Linked DNA regions of Arabidopsis thaliana. The protein of the gene in region 4 interacts with the protein of the main gene of each other region in a biochemical or structural test. Each region holds a gene or a part of one and is shown on either strand. Other genes may lie near its edges.

Region 1 (3,859 bases), on a different chromosome or scaffold from region 4:
TCTTCACAAGTCCGGCGTTATACGCCGCCGCGTTAGATTCGCTTGCACCAATCTCATTCTCATCTCCAACGGAAGGCCACCCTGTTTCCGTCACCATCACCTTAACGCCTTTAAATCCGACGGCGGACAATGCCGCGTAAACGGCGTCTATTTGAGCGTCAAAGAGACTGTTGTACTTCAATCCGGTACCGGAATCTATATTCCCGGCGTTTTCTTTAAACAGAGCGTAGTCTAAAGAGATTTTATCGGCGTTTGCTGCGTAAGCGAAAAACGGATAAGCATTTACCATAAGATACGACGACGTTTGTTGAAGCAGAGCAAGCATTGGTTTAACAACCGGTTCGATTAATTCCGGTTTAAAAGAACCAGAGGAAGGCGGGTACGAATTAGCAAGCGCGCTAAGAGCAATAGGAGACGAGATCTTGATGGCTTTGTCGAGTTTATACTTAACCAGAGAGGTGTGAATGTTCTTCATCGCATTGACAAGATACGGCGTGATCGTCGGATCGACGAATACTTCGTTACCGACGGCGATAGCTTCGATCTCCGTCGCTGGGAAGTATGGCATTATGTGGGTTTTAATCCAGTTGTCGGCGAATGATTGGTGGGAGGCGGCGGAGGAGAGAAGCTCGTTAGGGAGAGCGACGATTACTTTGATTTTGGAATTTGCAAGTGCGGTTAGTACATTCTTATCGGTGTCGAAGATTTTGATACGGTTGATTCCTTGAGATTTCAGGAGGTTCACTACTTTCTCCGGCGACGGGAGATTGTTAGCTATCCGACCATAATTGACTCCGACCATTCCAGAATCTGTGGAAACAAAAACAAAAAAAACGCAAAATAAGAACAACGTAGTAGACACGGCAAATACAGAGACAGACATAGGTATATGAAGAGATTAAAAACTAACGTGCGTCAATGGCTGAGAGGAAGGAAAGAATCAGAAAATAAGGTAAGAAAGAAACGGCCATGGTTATTCTCGAGTGTATCTTCAGAAACAGAGCATTAAACGCATAGATGAGTGTCGTTTGATAGTTATGGAGACGAAGGAAAGTTTTTGTTGCGTTTGGGACGGAGCTGGTCTACAGTATTTATACGATTTAGGTGTAAACAAGTGCCAAGTGGGGGTTGTGGGATAACTAATAACACGGAAGAATAGCTGAAATAATAGATTTAACTAAAACTGTATAATTTTAAAGCTCTATTTATAGCAAAAAGTTTTACTTTACCATAATCTTCAGTTAAAGGAACTCTCTATAATTTTGATGTTTTTCTAACATATGAATGTTTTCATAGTTGATTTTGGTTATAACAGAAACCTAACAAAAACCTTGACTTTTATTGTTTCTTAAACAAGAGTCAAGACCTAGGTTCTTTATATGTTGCATTGCGCATATTTCGTTAATTCATCATCATTTCTTTCTTTTGTGAAGAGTGTGTGACAGACTTTATCTCCTTCAACTAATCTTTTTGTTAATACACAAAGTGACATGATTTATAGATTTAACAATTTATTTATTTCTTCTATGTCAAATTGTCAAGTCTTCAACAGATGATGAAATCATGGAGAGTGGTGGATAGGAGGACTCACGTCACGTGAGATCAGGAACTGCAACCTAAAATATTTAACCAAATGAAATTGTCTAGTGGGTTAGATGTGGCCCAATAAAAATATAAGCCCATTATAACGAAACGACAGATTTGAACATAACTAGCAGCCGTTGGATTAAAAGAGAACCTAGAGAGAATATGAACCGTTGGATAGATGCCCTACGATTTATGATAGAGAGGAATCCGATGCGTCCAAGTACAAAAGCCACGGCCAATTAGAGAGATTTTCAGAGTCAGTCTTTTTATATTCATCTCTCAGCATCATTCTTTGATTGTGTGAATCTCTCATCGTTCTCTCAAATTTCGTGTTTTTGTAACCGGACGGAGAACCTTTCACGATGTCTGCAAACCAGGAGGAAGACAAGAAGCCAGGAGACGGAGGAGCTCACATCAATCTCAAAGTCAAGGGACAGGTATCTCTCTTTCTCCTTCTCATCCTTGTGTGTTCTTGTGAATGTTTGGGTTTCTGATTTCGTGTAGCTGCGATTAGGGTTTTTCATTCTCCAATTTGGTTTAATTTTAGGGTTTCGTACTACTAGCTCAGTCTTAATGGTCTTCTTCCTCTTTTGTTTTACAGGTTTAAAGTATCCTGCTTTATGTTTACACGTTTGCTTGTTTTTGCTAATTGTTTATCAAATTTCTGAAATTATATAAGTCTTGTTTAGGTGTAAGTTGTTATTGAGCTTTTGGTTCCTGTTGTTGTTTGAGGGTTTTATAGTTTTGGAAGGGATAAGTTTACTTAGTTGTTGAATGTTCTAAAGACTGTGAACGATGCTGTCTCTGTACTAAGTTGTTATATATCTTCTGATGAAGTTGTAGTCTCTGTACTAAGTTTTCAATTAGTTTGGCTGATGTTTGTGCTTCAAATTCTCATAGACGAAGCCTTAAACTGAATGTTTGTTGATATGTGTTTAATTTTTCGACTCTTTCAGGTTACTACCAAAAGAGAGCCATGTGATTTAGTTATTGTTTCATATGCGGTCTCTAACGTTTATTGTTCCTTCTATATGTTTGTTTTATAGGATGGAAACGAGGTTTTCTTTAGGATCAAGAGAAGCACTCAGCTCAAGAAGCTGATGAATGCTTACTGTGACCGGCAATCTGTGGACATGAACTCCATTGCTTTCTTGTTTGATGGGCGTCGTCTTCGTGCTGAGCAAACTCCCGATGAGGTATAACATTCATTCTACATGCTTTATTTCTTACCTTTTGAAGTTTATAGTTTCTGATACTAATAATTCTTGACACTACAGCTTGACATGGAGGATGGTGATGAGATCGATGCGATGCTCCATCAGACTGGTGGCAGCGGTGGTGGTGCTACGGCCTGACACTTCGTCCAGGTTTAGGGCTTGTGTGTGATATGAATGGTTAAGGAGTAATCGGCATTAGGATTTGCAGACTTGTTTTTTTATCGTGACCATTCTCTTTAGAAACTAAGTTATTATGGTCACGAAGGTTAAAGAACCCTTTGGTTGATTTTTTGTCTTGTTCGTTTGGTATCGGATCCTATGATACTACTATTTCGGCTTAAAGGTGTTATTAACCCAATTATCTAAAGTTTGTTGGTATGGTAACGGTAAAAAGCTATTAATTATTGAAAGTGTGACTCTTAACATATACGTAGCTCATTGAGCTAATGGCGAGCAAAGATAAAATCCATCTAGTCAACTAAACAAAATATTACTTAAACATGAACTAGCATCGAGTTAGTGAATTATAGTCTATAGAGGACGACTTCATAACCAGAGCTTGTGGTGGTTATAGACAAGACAATAATCAGTATTATTACTCTCTCTCGAGTCTCGAGCTGTAAAAACTAAGTGTCTGAATCTTAACATGGTTGTTGATGGTAGAAAGACTTGGTTACAAGTAATTAGTTGGCTGAACCTGAACCCCTTCTTAAGACATATCCTTTGAATAATCAAATCTATACAAATAATAATCATATTAGTGAAGAACATATATAATTCATAAACACCAACTCATAACAAAAAACAAAGAACCAGAAGTCTAGGCACAAAATGCCCACAACCATCATACATAAACCAAGAAGCTTCAAATGCAACTACAAAGAGAGTTTGCTTATTTAGGCTTTTAATTATACATACAAACCACCAAGTCACCATATTGTTCACTGAAGGACAAGGCACTCGGCGGCCGTCCCATTTGTGATCGGACCTCCATGGGTTCTGTTGCTTTTCTGGTTAACATTGCCACTAGAGTTTTGCTGATGAACTATGGTTCC
Region 2 (5,805 bases), on a different chromosome or scaffold from region 4:
GATCATTAAGGAATAGTTCTTGTGTAAAGCCCGTAAACCGGAAAATCGGTTATGGTTTGTGTTTAAATCACCCGGTTTAATCGGTTGGGTTAATGGAAACCCTAGAGTGTACCTATAAAAGAAGGAAACTCGAATTAGAGCTTTGGTTAGTCATTTTTCGTTCTGTAAAAGAGAAAAAGAGAGAGAAGGAGAAGGATCAAAATCGTTAGGATTGGGGAAGAAACAGTTTCAACATATCAAATCGTTGTCAAAGGTAACGAAATTTGGTAGAGTTATTTCGAAGTCTTTCATCGTCGTTTTCCATTTTATAGAAGTTGTTTTGGATTTAAGCTCATTAAGTTATTCACAGTTTCGTGAGACACGTTTTTTCAGACGCGAATTAGGCCCAGCAGAGATTATAACTGAGATCGTGGTCTTGTCTAGTTTCTAATCAGCACGAGATTTTGTGGGAAGCTCGTGACGTCGAAGGCTACTATCAGTATACATACCTATTCGGATTCTCGTTATATGGAAGTAGACGTACGTGTTTCATATACACTAACAAGTCATTTATCATAAATAAATGTGAACTATATATGTTTATAAGATTAAGAATTGGCATCTGTTTGACTTATAACCAAAACTTTGAAAGCCAACAAGTATGAGACCTGGTCTAATACCACAAGCAACAGACTACTTACTATACAGTGTATTATAACATGATGGAACCAGAGATAAATAAAAAATGTACATCAGACAAACTCCTACATAGTTTCTCTCCAGCCCCATAACCGGAATTACATTAAACCGTACCAAATGTACTCGGTTTACAGTCCAACCAGATTTCACCGGAGTTACAGCCCTTATGATGTTCCTCTCCTTTTGCACCTCCAAATGCACTTTTTACCTGTAAAACCAAACATACCACAGTAAATTTCATGCCACTTGGTTAGACCAATGTACCAAATTCCAATTGAACTGTGAAACATAGAAACTTTCACTAATTTTTTTACTGTGGTCTACTGTAAATGCAAACACTTGGATTTGAAAACAGTTCAAAACTTTTCAGCTAAATTCAATTTAAAACTGATACTACTTGGCTAGACAAGTGTGCCAAGCACAACGCGCATCGACGATTTATTTGAATTGTGTAGGAAGATTGAAACTTACTGAAAATTTGGAGACTTTCAATTTGAAAATGTTTAGAATCTTTATGTGAACTTATTGTTGAGAGAGTCGGATTTGCGAGTTACATACCCGGTTTGTGAAAGCCGTCTCCAGTTCAGTATTTCATGGTGATTCTGCAAGTAGCTAGACGTTGTACTTCCTCCTCCAATACCATTTTCTTCACTAGGGAACTGCTCTGAGTACCCTGGAGACCACTCGGGGACTATGCCTCCGCTTCTTTCTCTCCTTCCGCTGCTGGAAGATTCCGCTGTTGAGTCTTCAGTGCTCTCTGCAACAATTCTGATATTAAATTCTGGAATCATAGCAGTGACTTGGTTTGAAGCCGGTTCTGCTCTCCGCTGCTGAGCTTGGTTGGTGTTAACCATGTTCCTTGGAACCTCTGCTCTGCTATCTCCTACTGAATTTCTCAAATTAAGAGACGACTCTTCGTCTTCTTCAGGTCTGATCAAAGAAGAAGTAATGCTTGGAACCATCTGATCCTCATATCTCCTGTTTGGGTTGAGTCTGGTTGGTTCAGTCTCTTCCATTGTAATGTCCCTTGGGAACTCTATAGGAGCTTCCTCTACCTCAGCAGAATCTCCAAGTCCTTCTTCGGATCCGTTCTCTATTGCAGCTCTTGAAGCAGCTTCTAGTTGCCACATCTGTGAAAGCGCTTCATGAAGCCGTGCTTTTGCTTCGTCTAATCCTACAATTGGTAGAGGATAGTTTGATCCAAGCTCGATACCAGCAGCTTGAAGAACGGACTCAGGTGCGTTCCACGGATGATGTATCCAGTCTGTCGGGAGTCTAGAGAGTTCAGGAAGCCATCGCCTTACGTATTCACCATTTGGATCAAACTTGTACCCTTCAAACTGAGGGTTATCTATGCGATCAAACTCCCGGCTATCCGGGAGAGTACCGGTAATGTATTGCCAACCAAGAGCATCGCTTTCTAAATCCGCATCAAGAAGTGTGTCCCAGAAATACTTCATCCCCCATCTCCATGGTAATTGAAGCACTTTAACAAAGAAGCTTGAAACAACTACTCTTATGCGATCATGCAACCAACCAGTAGCCCATAACTCTCTCATCCCGGCATCGACCAACGGATATCCAGTCCGGCCTTGCCTCCATGCCTTGAAATAGTTCTCATCCACAGCCCAAGGGAAGAACTTTAGATGGCCAAGAAGTGGTCTTTCATGGGAATATGGATGGTTAAAACTTATGTACCTAGAATACTCCCTGAGACCAATAGATTTCAGGAAAAGATTCACGCTTTCTTCCCCGGCCTCGTTTCCTTCGTTTGCCCACGCGACCTGTTTGATCCGAACAAGATGAAAAACTTTTCTCACACTCACTTCCCCAAAATGCAAGTGTGGAGAAAGAAACGAGGTTGTAGCACTATCGGCTTTTCTGCGGTTCTTAGAGTATTCAAGCAATGGACCGTTTATAAACGTTGTGAGAGCTTTATCACCATTACTCCATCCAGGAGACCAAGCACGAGCCAGAAGTGCATTGCTTCCTTTCTCAGAGTCATCCTCAAACACCAATGGATCCGCAACACATTTAGACACATCCCCTGCAACATAAAAGAAACATTATTGAATGATACAGATTTGGAAAAAACGAAAACCCACAAGAGAGAGTGGCAAAGAAACAAACCTGAAATGATCTTCTTAGGTGGAAGAAGAGGAGACTCAGGGTCATAAGGCATACTAAGACATCTCTCCCAAAACGCAGCAAACATAGAGAAAGGACGGCCTAATTCATCAGTCACTTCCCATGGCTCATAAAGCAAGTCTGCGTTGAATGATCGAACCGCTATGCCTTGCGCCGTCAAAACATCTTTAGCTCGGTGATCACGCACCAAAGACAATGGATCTGAAAAAGATCAAAACTTTATCATTTCCAGATCATCTTATTCCACAAATACATCAAACAAAACATAACCCATAAGAGAAAAGATGATTCCAATCACAAAAATCAAATCTTTTTATCATGCAAATTCAAAGATAAGATAAAGAGAGAAGAGAAGAGGAACAACAGACCATACAAATGGTTGAAGAAGATCTGAGAAGCACCAGTGGATTTAACAACATCAAGAAGAGAAGCAACACTATCAGTAGATCTCTTGGTGATAAGACAAGTACCAAGACTTCTAAGAGAAGAATCAAGCTGAGCCAAACTGTTCTTGAGCCACCACCTAGAAACCCTACCTGGATGATAGTGTCCTTCTTCTTCTGGTGCCCAAACAAACAGAGCAATCACTGGACCAGCTCTTACTGCTGCTGCTAAAGCTGGATTATCTTCAACCCTAAGATCTCTTCTAAACCATACAATACTACAACCACCAGAACCACAACCAGATACAGAACCAGACATCTCTCACAAACTAAAAAAAACTAAAACTTTTCTTTGCCAATAATCACATAAAAATTACTTTTTTATTCAAACTATTTCCAGAAATCGAAACCCTTTGGTCACTTATCTCTCTCGAGAAGAAAGACAACAAAAAAAAAAAGATTTTTGATGAGAAGGCAAAAAAAAAAAAAAAGCTTATCTTTACGAATATCTCTCTCTCTCTCTGAGTGCCTCTCTGGCAAAATGCAACTATACTTTTGGGAATTATTCACCCAAAAAGATTTTTCCTAATTTTGGACAAAGTAGTCTCTAAGTAATAACCCAAAAATATAGCAATATTTGCATTAATTTCTCTTTTAATTTATTTATTGTTTAGGTTACAGTTTGAAAAAATATTTATCTCTTATTAAATTATAATTATTATTTATTTTTGGTAGAAATATAAAATTATTATTTTTGTCTTAAAGTGAAAAATCAAAGAAAAATAAAATAAAAATAAGTTATCTAAAAAAAAAGAAGAAGAAGAAATTGGAGGTTGATAGAGAGAGGTGAAGAAGATTGACACTAGGAATAATGATTCAATTCACACGACGAGATTTATTGGAATAATTTTCCACCACAACTTTTATTTATTTCTTTCCACTTGAAATATTATCCCAATCCAGTTGAACCAAATCAACTGTGACTCACAAGATTTCTACTCCTTTCCCTAAAATTTCTCCTTTTTTCTTTGTTCAAAAAAAAAAAAAAAATGTAGAATCTTATACTATAATTCTCTAGAACATATTCTACATATAAATATTAAACTGATTTTTTATACACTTGGATTTTAGTGGGACGATTATTGGTTAATTATCAAATGGTTCAATTCGGATTTCGGTTCTGATTCGTTTCGATTTTCGTTTAGGTTTTTAAAATTTCTGTGTTATGAAAAATGGTATATTCAGATAAAATAAAATGATATAATAAATGATTTGGTATAGTTTTGGATTTGAGGTTTTTGGATTATAAATATCAATATGGTTTAGTTTGAATCGGATCGGTTTATCTGGTAAAACAAATGATATCTTAATTTTATTCTTTTATTTTTTTAAAGTTGATTATTAAGGATAATAGAGAAATCATATAAATGATGTACCGAGGATGGTTCTGAAATGTTATTGGAAGGTTAGGATATGAGAGAGAGTGACATATTAGCAAAAGTGGGCGAGAGATGGATATGGTTGGCCCTCCTTGCCTTTTAACATATTTTAGGACTTTTTATGTTATCTATATATATATATATATATATATTGTTTTTGGTGTGGAGAGTGTTTATCTTGATTCATGATAGAGTTAAGACTCCCTTGACAAGTCAATTTAAGTTACCAAATCACTAATCCAAAATTATGAAACCTCTTTTACGGCTTTACCCAATTTTAATTCCATCACATATATGTTTGATAGTTTAGATCTACATTTTTCTCTTCTGATTAATTTTTATAGTGAGCGTAGTTGTCGAATAGTCTTCATAATTGTTTTTAATATGTTTGATAGTTTAGATTTAGATTTTTTTCATCTGATTATTTTTTTAGGGTGAGCGTAGTTGTCGAATCGTCTACTTAAATTTTTTAATAGCTTTAAACATGATACTGAGAGCTGGTTAAAAATATATTTTAGGTTCGAAGAAAATTGATTTATAACTTAGACCTACATAAAAAAAAATAACAAATCAGAATCACTAACTAGCTACTTGTATTTGGTTAAATTCCATCATATGCGTAGGACATTGAATTTTGTGGGTAAAAATTAGAAGATACAAACATACATTTCTGAAAATCATAAATATTCATCAGATTAAGTATACAACAAATTGACGAAAAAAAAAATTTACAACTAATTTACTTTTTTTTTTATCAATAACACATTAATTTAAAGATAACTTCATGATTGGTTTACCGCTCAACAATTAATTCACATCAGACAAAATATATTTAACAAAGCGGATAAATAATATAAAAATGAATAATGATGACACAAATGAACGGATTACATACATTAAAAAAAACAATCATGATATCTGCTCTCGACCACCTCTAAATTAGCTTGTTTTCGAGTGTAAATAACGTGCCTTTTATTATTTTATTGCTCGTAGGAGTATTCATAATATAGCTAGAAAGAGCTTATTATTTTATTATATGTATGTACAAAAAATAATAGAGATTATTATTGATTTTGCCTTTTTTATAAAAATCTTGTGAAAATGATATTTTTCCTAAAATCTTACGGATTTATTATTTTTAACACTTAAAAATGTAC
Region 3 (4,848 bases), on a different chromosome or scaffold from region 4:
ACAAATAATCAGAAACGATGCTAAATTGATGAAGATAGGAGGAAATATACCTCAATGGGATCCTGTGTATCGGTTTCTGGGATCGTCAATGGAAAAGAGAAGGAAGATGAGGTTGGATTCGTCGATACACATCCTGGGTTCGTGGAAGGGCAAGGCCTAATTTTGCTACAAAAAAAAGAGAGTAATAAAGATTAGCTTTGTTTAGAGAGCAGAAATCAGAGTGAGAAGAGGAACAAACCCATTGAGAAGACCGGTCTGGACGAACTTGGATTGGGTGAAAGGAGTGGTGAGTGGCTGAGAAGAGGAGAGAGAAGGAATGGCTAAGGCAGGGGAAAAGGAAGTTAGAGAGATAGCAAGAGCAAAAGAGATTAGTTTTGGTAAAAGAGAGATTGGAGGAGAAGTAGAAGAGAGTTCTTGTTCTTGTTTTGGGCTTTGCAATGAGCACAACAACTTGGTGCTTCTCGGCCGTGGCGGGAGGATGAGTTGCAAACTGGCGACCAAACTCATGTTTGTAGTTTATGGTTACTCTCTTCTCCTCCAAATATTATTAATATATAAGTGTCTCAAAACGCTTTACTGAAATGAAAATTAATTAAAATTGTTTTTTTTTTTTATTGTATGTTTGAACTTTTAAATTTTAGTTGACTACAAATTCCATAATGTCCCGATATAAAATGTGAGATGTGTTCTTGTTTGACCACAATAAAAACACTATGAGATTGGTAGAAAATTATCAAGAAATAGAGTTTCACCCAATACCAATAGCGTTTCACCTAGTTTTCATCATCCTATTACAAAAATTCGATGGTAAATTACAAGCGGCAAAGTTCAATGTAACTAATGATACACCGATACACGTAACATGTTCATTGAATGTTTCATTAAACCAACAAAAAACTATTGACTCATGCCACTAGAAAAATTACCACCGAATTAAATTAAAGAGAGCGAGAGGCAAATGAAACGATAGAAAATAAGACGTTCAATGGTCTTGAGAGAATTAAATATGTTTCTTTATATTCACCAGTGTTTGAACATTTGCAGAATTGTGCAGAGAAAGGACTAAAGGAGAATGAACAACATTTTATTGGACAAGGAAACTCTATTTTCACGATTTCGCAGGTATGTCTTTTTATAATATTACTTATTTCATAATATTTTGATATAGATGATTACTCAAACAAAAGAGGTGAAAACTCTTGTAAATTTTCAGTATTTAACCTGCAAAACAGATACTACTTTTTTACTTGATTTATCAAACCAAAGTTAAGACTTACAAAAGCACCGGTGACAATCCGACATTGTTGCCATGCAAAGACTCAAACCAATTTGACCGTCGACGCTTTTTTAGTATTTCAAAAATATTTTTATCAATTCATGAATTATGATTATTGCCAAACATCGATTCAGTGGAGACTAGGTTTATGAATTATGACCGTAGAACATATGAAAACTGTGTAAAACTATTGTATAATTTATGTATTAAATTTTGTATTAATCAACTGATATGCGGTCGGACCGGATCCAACCGGCGATCGAAACATACCATTTATATTTTTTCTTTTTCTATTTTACTAGAAATAAAATAAATAGAAACCTCCGTTGCTTTTTTGGCAAACACTGTGAGAGAGTTGACCAAAATCGACCCAGTGGGAGGACTAGGTTTATCGAAAGCTCCAGTTTTCATAGATAAATCCAGTAAAATTATACACGCAAATTCTAGTTTCTTAGAGCAAAGCTTTGTTGAATTGATAGCTTGAATTTGGGAATGGACGGAGAAGAGCTTACCGAGCAGGAGACTGCCTTGTACGACCGCCAGATTAGGGTTTGGGGCGCTAATGCTCAGAGAAGGTTACTTTCTCATCCCCTTGTTCTTTTCAACACTCAATCTTGTTTTCACTTTTCTAAATTTAAGTGCTTTTAAGCTGCATCATCTCAATTATGATTTGAGTCGGCTTTGAGTACTAAACTCTTACTATTTGGCCATTTTAGGAGAATGCTTAATGGTCCCTTCTTAAATGCGGATTTAGATCATTAAAATTGTATTTTTTTTTGCTTCTCCTCCATTCGATTACTTTCTCTTGGCTTCAGTTTTGGTTTTTATTTGTTTGTCTTTGTCTTAAGAGAATTTTAGTTAATACCTATTATTGGTTTAGCGTTTGGATTCTGCTTCTAGACTAGTGCATTCCTAATTATGAGCTCCCTTAGGTTGTTCTGAGATGAGAGTTTTGTTTTTTAACTATTAAGATTGATGTATTCATTCATATTTTGCTTTTTGCTGAAGCTTATTTTATTGATACACTACACTACCATGTAATTACTCTGTAAGCTTGGCACGATTTGATATAGTGTGAGGTTGGTGTTTTGCCTTGCAGATTGACCAAAGCTCATATCTTGGTATCTGGAATTAAGGGGACTGTTGCTGAGGTAGCTGTAACTCTATAATTCATGCTGAGATGTCATGCTTTTCAATTAGTTTAATCTAATGGTATCTTACTGCATTTCCTGGCTTTGTTTCCATTTGGTGGGTTAGTTTTGCAAGAACATTGTGCTGGCAGGAGTTGGTTCAGTGACTTTAATGGATGATCGTTTAGCAAACATGGAGGCCTTGAACGCTAACTTTTTGATTCCGCCTGATGAAAATGTTTACAGTGGCAAAACTGTGGCTGAGATTTGTAGTGATTCACTCAAGGATTTCAACCCTATGGTCCGTGTTTCCGTAGAGAAAGGTTTCCCTCTAATACCTCTCCGTTAATGTTTTAAAAACATACCGACTATTATCTGATCAATTTTTCAAATCTTTCAGGTGATTTGTCAATGCTTGGCACTGATTTTTTTGAGCAGTTTGATGTCGTAGTTATAGGCTATGGTTCTCGTGCTACCAAAGTATTTATACCACCTTTTACATATTTACCACTTGCTTTCATCTTTAGTTGCTCCATACATCTCTTCATGACGTTGTCTGTTTATTTTTTGCAGAAATATGTCAATGAAAAATGTCGGAAGTTAAAGAAACGTGTCGCATTCTATACAGTCGATTGTAGAGACTCATGTGGTGAAATCTTTGTGGACCTCCAAGATTACAAGTACACAAAGGTACTTGCATGATTTGTTGTTGCATTTCTTCTGTTGATTATGTGCTGTTTTGACATTTCATCTGGCTTATTTTTAAATTTCTATAATTCCATTGAACATTTAAACTTCATTAACAACTTCTAATTTGCACAATGTCCTTTGTATTGTTTTCCTGATAATTTTCTTTCCACAGAAAAAGCTTGAAGAGATGGTGGAATGCGAACTAAATTTTCCAAGTTTTCAGGTACAATTTAACACTAGTTCTCGCTACTAATAATCCTTACATCTGCATAGGATTTTGTGATAAATTAGATTTGTTTATTGCCACAGGAAGCTATATCGGTACCATGGAAACCGATTCCTCGGAGAACAGCAAAGCTCTACTTTGCTATGAGAGGTAGTTACTAGTTACTACAGCTGATTTCTTTATTACTTTCCACAAATGAAAATTGAGATCCCAAGGCAGATACATACAACAAAAATTCTTCACTAATCTTTGGCATTCTCATGAAATTTTCAGTAATAGAAGTGTTTGAAGAGAGTGAAGGGCGTAAACATGGAGAATGTTCGCTACTCGATCTTGCCAGAGTCTTGGAAATCAAAAAGCAACTCTGTGAGGCAAACGTAAGTGTGTTTAGTTGTTTTATCATTATTTAGAAATGTCACTGCCAGGTTCACTGAATAACTGAATATTGTCTCTCAGTCTGTGAGCGAGAGCCATATACCAGATATTCTCTTGGAGAGACTTATCACTGGTACTACTGAATTCCCGCCAGTTTGTGCCATTGTGGGAGGAATATTAGCACAGGTTCTCTCTCTCTCACTTTCACTCTCTTATCGCATTCGAATCTTCTCACTAGAAACTTGTAATTTGACAAGAAAGATTTTTTGATGTGGCAGGAGGTGATCAAAGCAGTATCAGGCAAAGGAGACCCGTTGAAAAACTTCTTCTACTATGATGGTGAAGATGGGAAAGGTGTGATGGAAGACATTTCCGACTCTTTTACCTCTTAAACAACCAGTGGGCCTTGATTTAGTTTAAACTCTATAATCTCTGAGATTCCATGTATATCTCAATCGTTTGTTTTTTGCCTTCACATTATGAACAAATTTAATGCAGAATTTAGTGGAGGATCAGTTGTGATTTTCCTTCGGTAAAATCATTTTCAGTTATTGACATTTGAATTGTTCAATTTCAAATTTCAAATATTATAATTCAATTCAAAGACTAGCTAAGTTTTTAAAAGTAATTAGTGAGAGATCTCACAGTGATATAAACCACATTCATTTTAATTCATAGCAAAGTAAATGGTAAGAAATGAAAATGGAAGAAAGAGAGGAGAGTAGTTCACACGAACATCTGAAGGAGAAGTTGAGAGAGCTTGAGGAGGAATGGACAGCCATGAAAACAGGTAAAAACTCATCTGCGGTTTCATGGATTACCGTGGAAGATGCTCTTGAGTATGTCGAAAACTCTCCCAGAAACCTAATGCTCTCTCTCCAACACAAACCAAAGGCAGAGATGATACAAGAAATATCGCCATTAAGGAGAAAACTCTTTCACGACTCTGATGATGATGATCAAACTAAGAAGACGACATTGCTTTCTCATTCATCTTGTTGGTCTTCGAATGTGACGAGTTCGAGTGATACCACGAAAGCAAAGAAGAAGACAACGATTAGAAGATTTGTTTCTGTTACAATGGTGCTGCTTTTGTCATGGGTTTTAGTTGTGTTGATGAACCACTTTGATCATCTCTCCATGAATACACA
Region 4 (4,712 bases):
TTCACTATTTCAAAAAGACTCAAACAATCTTGTAAACCCAAGTTATTCTTCCTTTTTTTTTTTGTTCCAAAAATGCCTAGTATTTCAAGAATTCAGTAATCCAATTTTACTTGTTTAAAATTGGCTTGTTTATGTAATTAACATATATCACGACTTGTATTACTTCTTTAGAAAAAATAATGTTTGGACTAAAAAGCAGACTAAATATTCATTACGAATGATGTGACACCATTTTCATTTGTTAGCTTCTACTACTATAAAAAATAAATAAAGGAATCAATGAGTGCACCTTTAATTTTTTTGGTTAATCAACGAGAGCACTTGATATCAAGTATGACGATAACCAATCAAAGTAAAAAACTTTGGATGTCTTTTTCTCTTTGCTAGTAAATTAATAATTATACCTACCGAATTTGTAACACATTACACATTGACATGGTGCATGTTTAATCCAATACTATCGACGTCACTCTATACTCCGTAAGTAATAGTATATATACATTGAAATGATCCATTATACCATCTGATAAATTTTTGTGAAGTGGCTAAAAATATAAACAGTTTTTTTTTTTTTGTGAGAAAATGATGTAACGGAGCATAATTATTCGTGGAACACAAGAACATGTAACCAACCATGTAGCACAGCGTTAATTGAGATGGTCCATACGAAGAGCCGTCAACGGTGGGAATGGTCATCTCAATTCTCATCAGGGCCTAGCGTATAAAAATACTTTAGAGACGTGTAATAATCACATGGGATCTTTGGGACCACAGTCTAAATGGCGTACGGTAAGTTCAAGGGACCCGTTTTACACGTGGACCCAATCACATGTTGTCAGTTCTGATTTTCACGAAAATAATTTCGAATATTTTTGTAAGACATTAATTAGTGGGACTAATTGTTATTTTCTGATCTGTGTAATCTTATTATGATTTAAGAATAGTTGCCGTAAGCGACGGCGTTAAGTACATACTACAATTGTATTAACCAATTTTATCTACAAATAGCAAAAAAAATCGAGACTATACTTTAAAAAGAAACGATTACAACTTAACTCTATCGTAACATGTAATTGACAAAATAGTGAATGCTATTTAAGTGTAAAGACTGAATGCTACTATTTGATAATTACTGTTATTTTGAAATGGGTTTATATATACTGCAGTTTACTTTTCTACCCCCTTGCTCGAAACATGCCTACATTATTACAAAGGGGAAGGCTAGGGCACTCAAACAGTATGATGAAAGCTTTTAGTTCCCCATCCAAAGAACAAATATAAAAGTCTTTTGTAATTAATGAAAATGTTACTAGTTCTTATCCACTCTTACAGATAAATACTAATAAGGTTTAATTTTTTTTTTAAAGATCTTATAAAAAATGTTAGAAAAGGAGCTTTTTCTTATATTCAATTTAAATTTTTTAACAATTTAAAACTAAAACGGGAAAACGTCATAGTCCCTCAATCTCTTTTTAATAAAATGGAATATTAATTTCCATAATGGGTTTAATGATGGTTTACTTTTCCCAATACAAAAGTTCCATTTTATTTAATAAGACTATACTAAATACTTAAACTTTTTAATAAAAAATATCTGTATTTTAGATCAAAAGTTACAATCACACAAAACCAACACAACAAACTCCTTAAAAAAGCGACAAAAAGTAAATTGTACCACTAGTTGCATGACAATCTTTTTAGTTGTTCAAAATTGTATGACCATCTAAACTCTAAAGTAATACTAACTTTAGAAAATATTAATCTGTAAAAAGCTATATATTCCCTAATATATTAGTTTATTAATTTCAATATATTCCCTAATTACAAATTTTGGTGTGTGTGTGATTTTCAGCCTTATCTCTTTGAGCTGTAGATGTTGCTGTTAGCCCTCTGATCCATGATTCATCGGACATCGAGCCCCATCACGAGCCTTTTTATTCTCAACAATAATAATCATTTTTTTTCTTATAACCTTCCTCTCTATTTTTACAATTTATTTTGTTATTAGAAGTGGTAGTGGAGTGAAAAAACAAATCCTAAGCAGTCCTAACCGATCCCCGAAGCTAAAGATTCTTCACCTTCCCAAATAAAGCAAAACCTAGATCCGACATTGAAGGAAAAACCTTTTAGATCCATCTCTGAAAAAAAACCAACCATGAAGAGAGATCATCATCATCATCATCATCAAGATAAGAAGACTATGATGATGAATGAAGAAGACGACGGTAACGGCATGGATGAGCTTCTAGCTGTTCTTGGTTACAAGGTTAGGTCATCCGAAATGGCTGATGTTGCTCAGAAACTCGAGCAGCTTGAAGTTATGATGTCTAATGTTCAAGAAGACGATCTTTCTCAACTCGCTACTGAGACTGTTCACTATAATCCGGCGGAGCTTTACACGTGGCTTGATTCTATGCTCACCGACCTTAATCCTCCGTCGTCTAACGCCGAGTACGATCTTAAAGCTATTCCCGGTGACGCGATTCTCAATCAGTTCGCTATCGATTCGGCTTCTTCGTCTAACCAAGGCGGCGGAGGAGATACGTATACTACAAACAAGCGGTTGAAATGCTCAAACGGCGTCGTGGAAACCACTACAGCGACGGCTGAGTCAACTCGGCATGTTGTCCTGGTTGACTCGCAGGAGAACGGTGTGCGTCTCGTTCACGCGCTTTTGGCTTGCGCTGAAGCTGTTCAGAAAGAGAATCTGACTGTAGCGGAAGCTCTGGTGAAGCAAATCGGATTCTTAGCCGTTTCTCAAATCGGAGCGATGAGAAAAGTCGCTACTTACTTCGCCGAAGCTCTCGCGCGGCGGATTTACCGTCTCTCTCCGTCGCAGAGTCCAATCGACCACTCTCTCTCCGATACTCTTCAGATGCACTTCTACGAGACTTGTCCTTATCTCAAGTTCGCTCACTTCACGGCGAATCAAGCGATTCTCGAAGCTTTTCAAGGGAAGAAAAGAGTTCATGTCATTGATTTCTCTATGAGTCAAGGTCTTCAATGGCCGGCGCTTATGCAGGCTCTTGCGCTTCGACCTGGTGGTCCTCCTGTTTTCCGGTTAACCGGAATTGGTCCACCGGCACCGGATAATTTCGATTATCTTCATGAAGTTGGGTGTAAGCTGGCTCATTTAGCTGAGGCGATTCACGTTGAGTTTGAGTACAGAGGATTTGTGGCTAACACTTTAGCTGATCTTGATGCTTCGATGCTTGAGCTTAGACCAAGTGAGATTGAATCTGTTGCGGTTAACTCTGTTTTCGAGCTTCACAAGCTCTTGGGACGACCTGGTGCGATCGATAAGGTTCTTGGTGTGGTGAATCAGATTAAACCGGAGATTTTCACTGTGGTTGAGCAGGAATCGAACCATAATAGTCCGATTTTCTTAGATCGGTTTACTGAGTCGTTGCATTATTACTCGACGTTGTTTGACTCGTTGGAAGGTGTACCGAGTGGTCAAGACAAGGTCATGTCGGAGGTTTACTTGGGTAAACAGATCTGCAACGTTGTGGCTTGTGATGGACCTGACCGAGTTGAGCGTCATGAAACGTTGAGTCAGTGGAGGAACCGGTTCGGGTCTGCTGGGTTTGCGGCTGCACATATTGGTTCGAATGCGTTTAAGCAAGCGAGTATGCTTTTGGCTCTGTTCAACGGCGGTGAGGGTTATCGGGTGGAGGAGAGTGACGGCTGTCTCATGTTGGGTTGGCACACACGACCGCTCATAGCCACCTCGGCTTGGAAACTCTCCACCAATTAGATGGTGGCTCAATGAATTGATCTGTTGAACCGGTTATGATGATAGATTTCCGACCGAAGCCAAACTAAATCCTACTGTTTTTCCCTTTGTCACTTGTTAAGATCTTATCTTTCATTATATTAGGTAATTGAAAAATTTTAATCTCGCTTTGGAGAGTTTTTTTTTTTTGCATGTGACATTGGAGGGTAAATTGGATAGGCAGAAATAGAAGTATGTGTTACCAAGTATGTGCAATTGGTTGAAATAAAATCATCTTGAGTGTCACCATCTATAAAATTCATTGTAATGACTAATGAGCCTGATTAAACTGTCTCTTATGATAATGTGCTGATTCTCATGAATATGCTCTTTTAATGTGCATGGTATTATAGGTGGACCAGATTATTTTAACAATGCTAAGTCGTTTTCAGTTTTCTTATTTGTTAATTTGAAAGAAGAAAAGTAAACAAAAGAAACCGAAAAGATACAAATGTCCACCTTTAATACATGTATCTGAAAGATATAGTAGGCGATTATATATGTCACCTAAAAAAAAAAAAGAGTAGGCGGATTATATTGTTCAACATCAACTGCACATAAATAATTCCACATATGTAAAAATGGGAGATGTTGATGTTCTTCGTAAATAAAAGACTGAAGTTTTTTTTTTTTTTTTTTGACAGCAATTGAAGTTGGTTTACGAACTTGTTTAAGAGATAAAAAAACATTCGACAGTGGTGGTAGTAGACTAGACTTCACTCGTGACCCTTTGGTATTATATAGTTGAGTGACTGTGACATTTGATCCTTTGTGATGTATAAAAAGGGCACGAGGGCGGTTTGATGGTTGATTATAGTCAACTTTTGCTACCCCACATATATGGGCCGAATAAGTGCTAATGGGCCTTAGTAAAAATCCCAAAACAAGTAGAAATGGTTCAGAAAAAAAGATAGCAACTTTGAGGTGGGAATTGGTC

The links.
Region 1: the proteins of GAI (region 4) and SUMO1 form a complex in vitro, tested with the Arabidopsis thaliana proteins (one study listed by BioGRID).
Region 2: the proteins of GAI (region 4) and CRY1 form a complex in vitro, tested with the Arabidopsis thaliana proteins (one study listed by BioGRID).
Region 3: of the proteins of GAI (region 4) and SAE1A, one has a biochemical effect on the other in vitro, tested with the Arabidopsis thaliana proteins (one study listed by BioGRID).

What each region holds. Positions count from the first base shown.
Region 1 is NC_003075.7:13,495,517-13,499,375, forward strand, and holds SUMO1 (small ubiquitin-like modifier 1), read left to right. Parts: upstream 1-1,770; 5' UTR 1,771-1,949; coding exon 1,950-2,024; intron 2,025-2,633; coding exon 2,634-2,783; intron 2,784-2,864; coding exon 2,865-2,942; 3' UTR 2,943-3,304; downstream 3,305-3,859. Other genes in the region: AT4G26830 (O-Glycosyl hydrolases family 17 protein), read right to left, coding at 1-883; VTC2 (GDP-L-galactose phosphorylase 1), read right to left, coding at 3,746-3,859. UniProt on the Arabidopsis thaliana protein: Ubiquitin-like protein which can be covalently attached to target lysines as a monomer. Does not seem to be involved in protein degradation and may function as an antagonist of ubiquitin in the degradation process.
Region 2 is NC_003075.7:5,721,983-5,727,787, reverse strand, and holds CRY1 (cryptochrome 1), read right to left. Parts: upstream 4,138-5,805; 5' UTR 3,529-4,137; coding exon 3,195-3,528; intron 3,028-3,194; coding exon 2,809-3,027; intron 2,726-2,808; coding exon 1,237-2,725; intron 887-1,236; coding exon 883-886; 3' UTR 520-882; downstream 1-519.
Region 3 is NC_003075.7:12,821,883-12,826,730, forward strand, and holds SAE1A (SUMO-activating enzyme 1A), read left to right. Parts: upstream 1-1,613; 5' UTR 1,614-1,768; coding exon 1,769-1,851; intron 1,852-2,375; coding exon 2,376-2,427; intron 2,428-2,533; coding exon 2,534-2,729; intron 2,730-2,806; coding exon 2,807-2,886; intron 2,887-2,979; coding exon 2,980-3,096; intron 3,097-3,268; coding exon 3,269-3,319; intron 3,320-3,405; coding exon 3,406-3,472; intron 3,473-3,595; coding exon 3,596-3,699; intron 3,700-3,778; coding exon 3,779-3,883; intron 3,884-3,975; coding exon 3,976-4,089; 3' UTR 4,090-4,327; downstream 4,328-4,848. Other genes in the region: AT4G24930 (thylakoid lumenal 17.9 kDa protein, chloroplast), read right to left, coding at 51-165, 239-507; AT4G24950 (uncharacterized protein), read left to right, coding at 4,400-4,848. UniProt on the Arabidopsis thaliana protein: The dimeric enzyme acts as an E1 ligase for SUMO1 and SUMO2. It mediates ATP-dependent activation of SUMO proteins and formation of a thioester with a conserved cysteine residue on SAE2. Functionally redundant with its paralog SAE1B.
Region 4 is NC_003070.9:5,147,259-5,151,970, forward strand, and holds GAI (GRAS family transcription factor family protein), read left to right. Parts: upstream 1-1,723; 5' UTR 1,724-2,155; coding exon 2,156-3,757; 3' UTR 3,758-4,157; downstream 4,158-4,712. UniProt on the Arabidopsis thaliana protein: Transcriptional regulator that acts as a repressor of the gibberellin (GA) signaling pathway. Transcription coactivator of the zinc finger transcription factors GAF1/IDD2 and ENY/IDD1 in regulation of gibberellin homeostasis and signaling.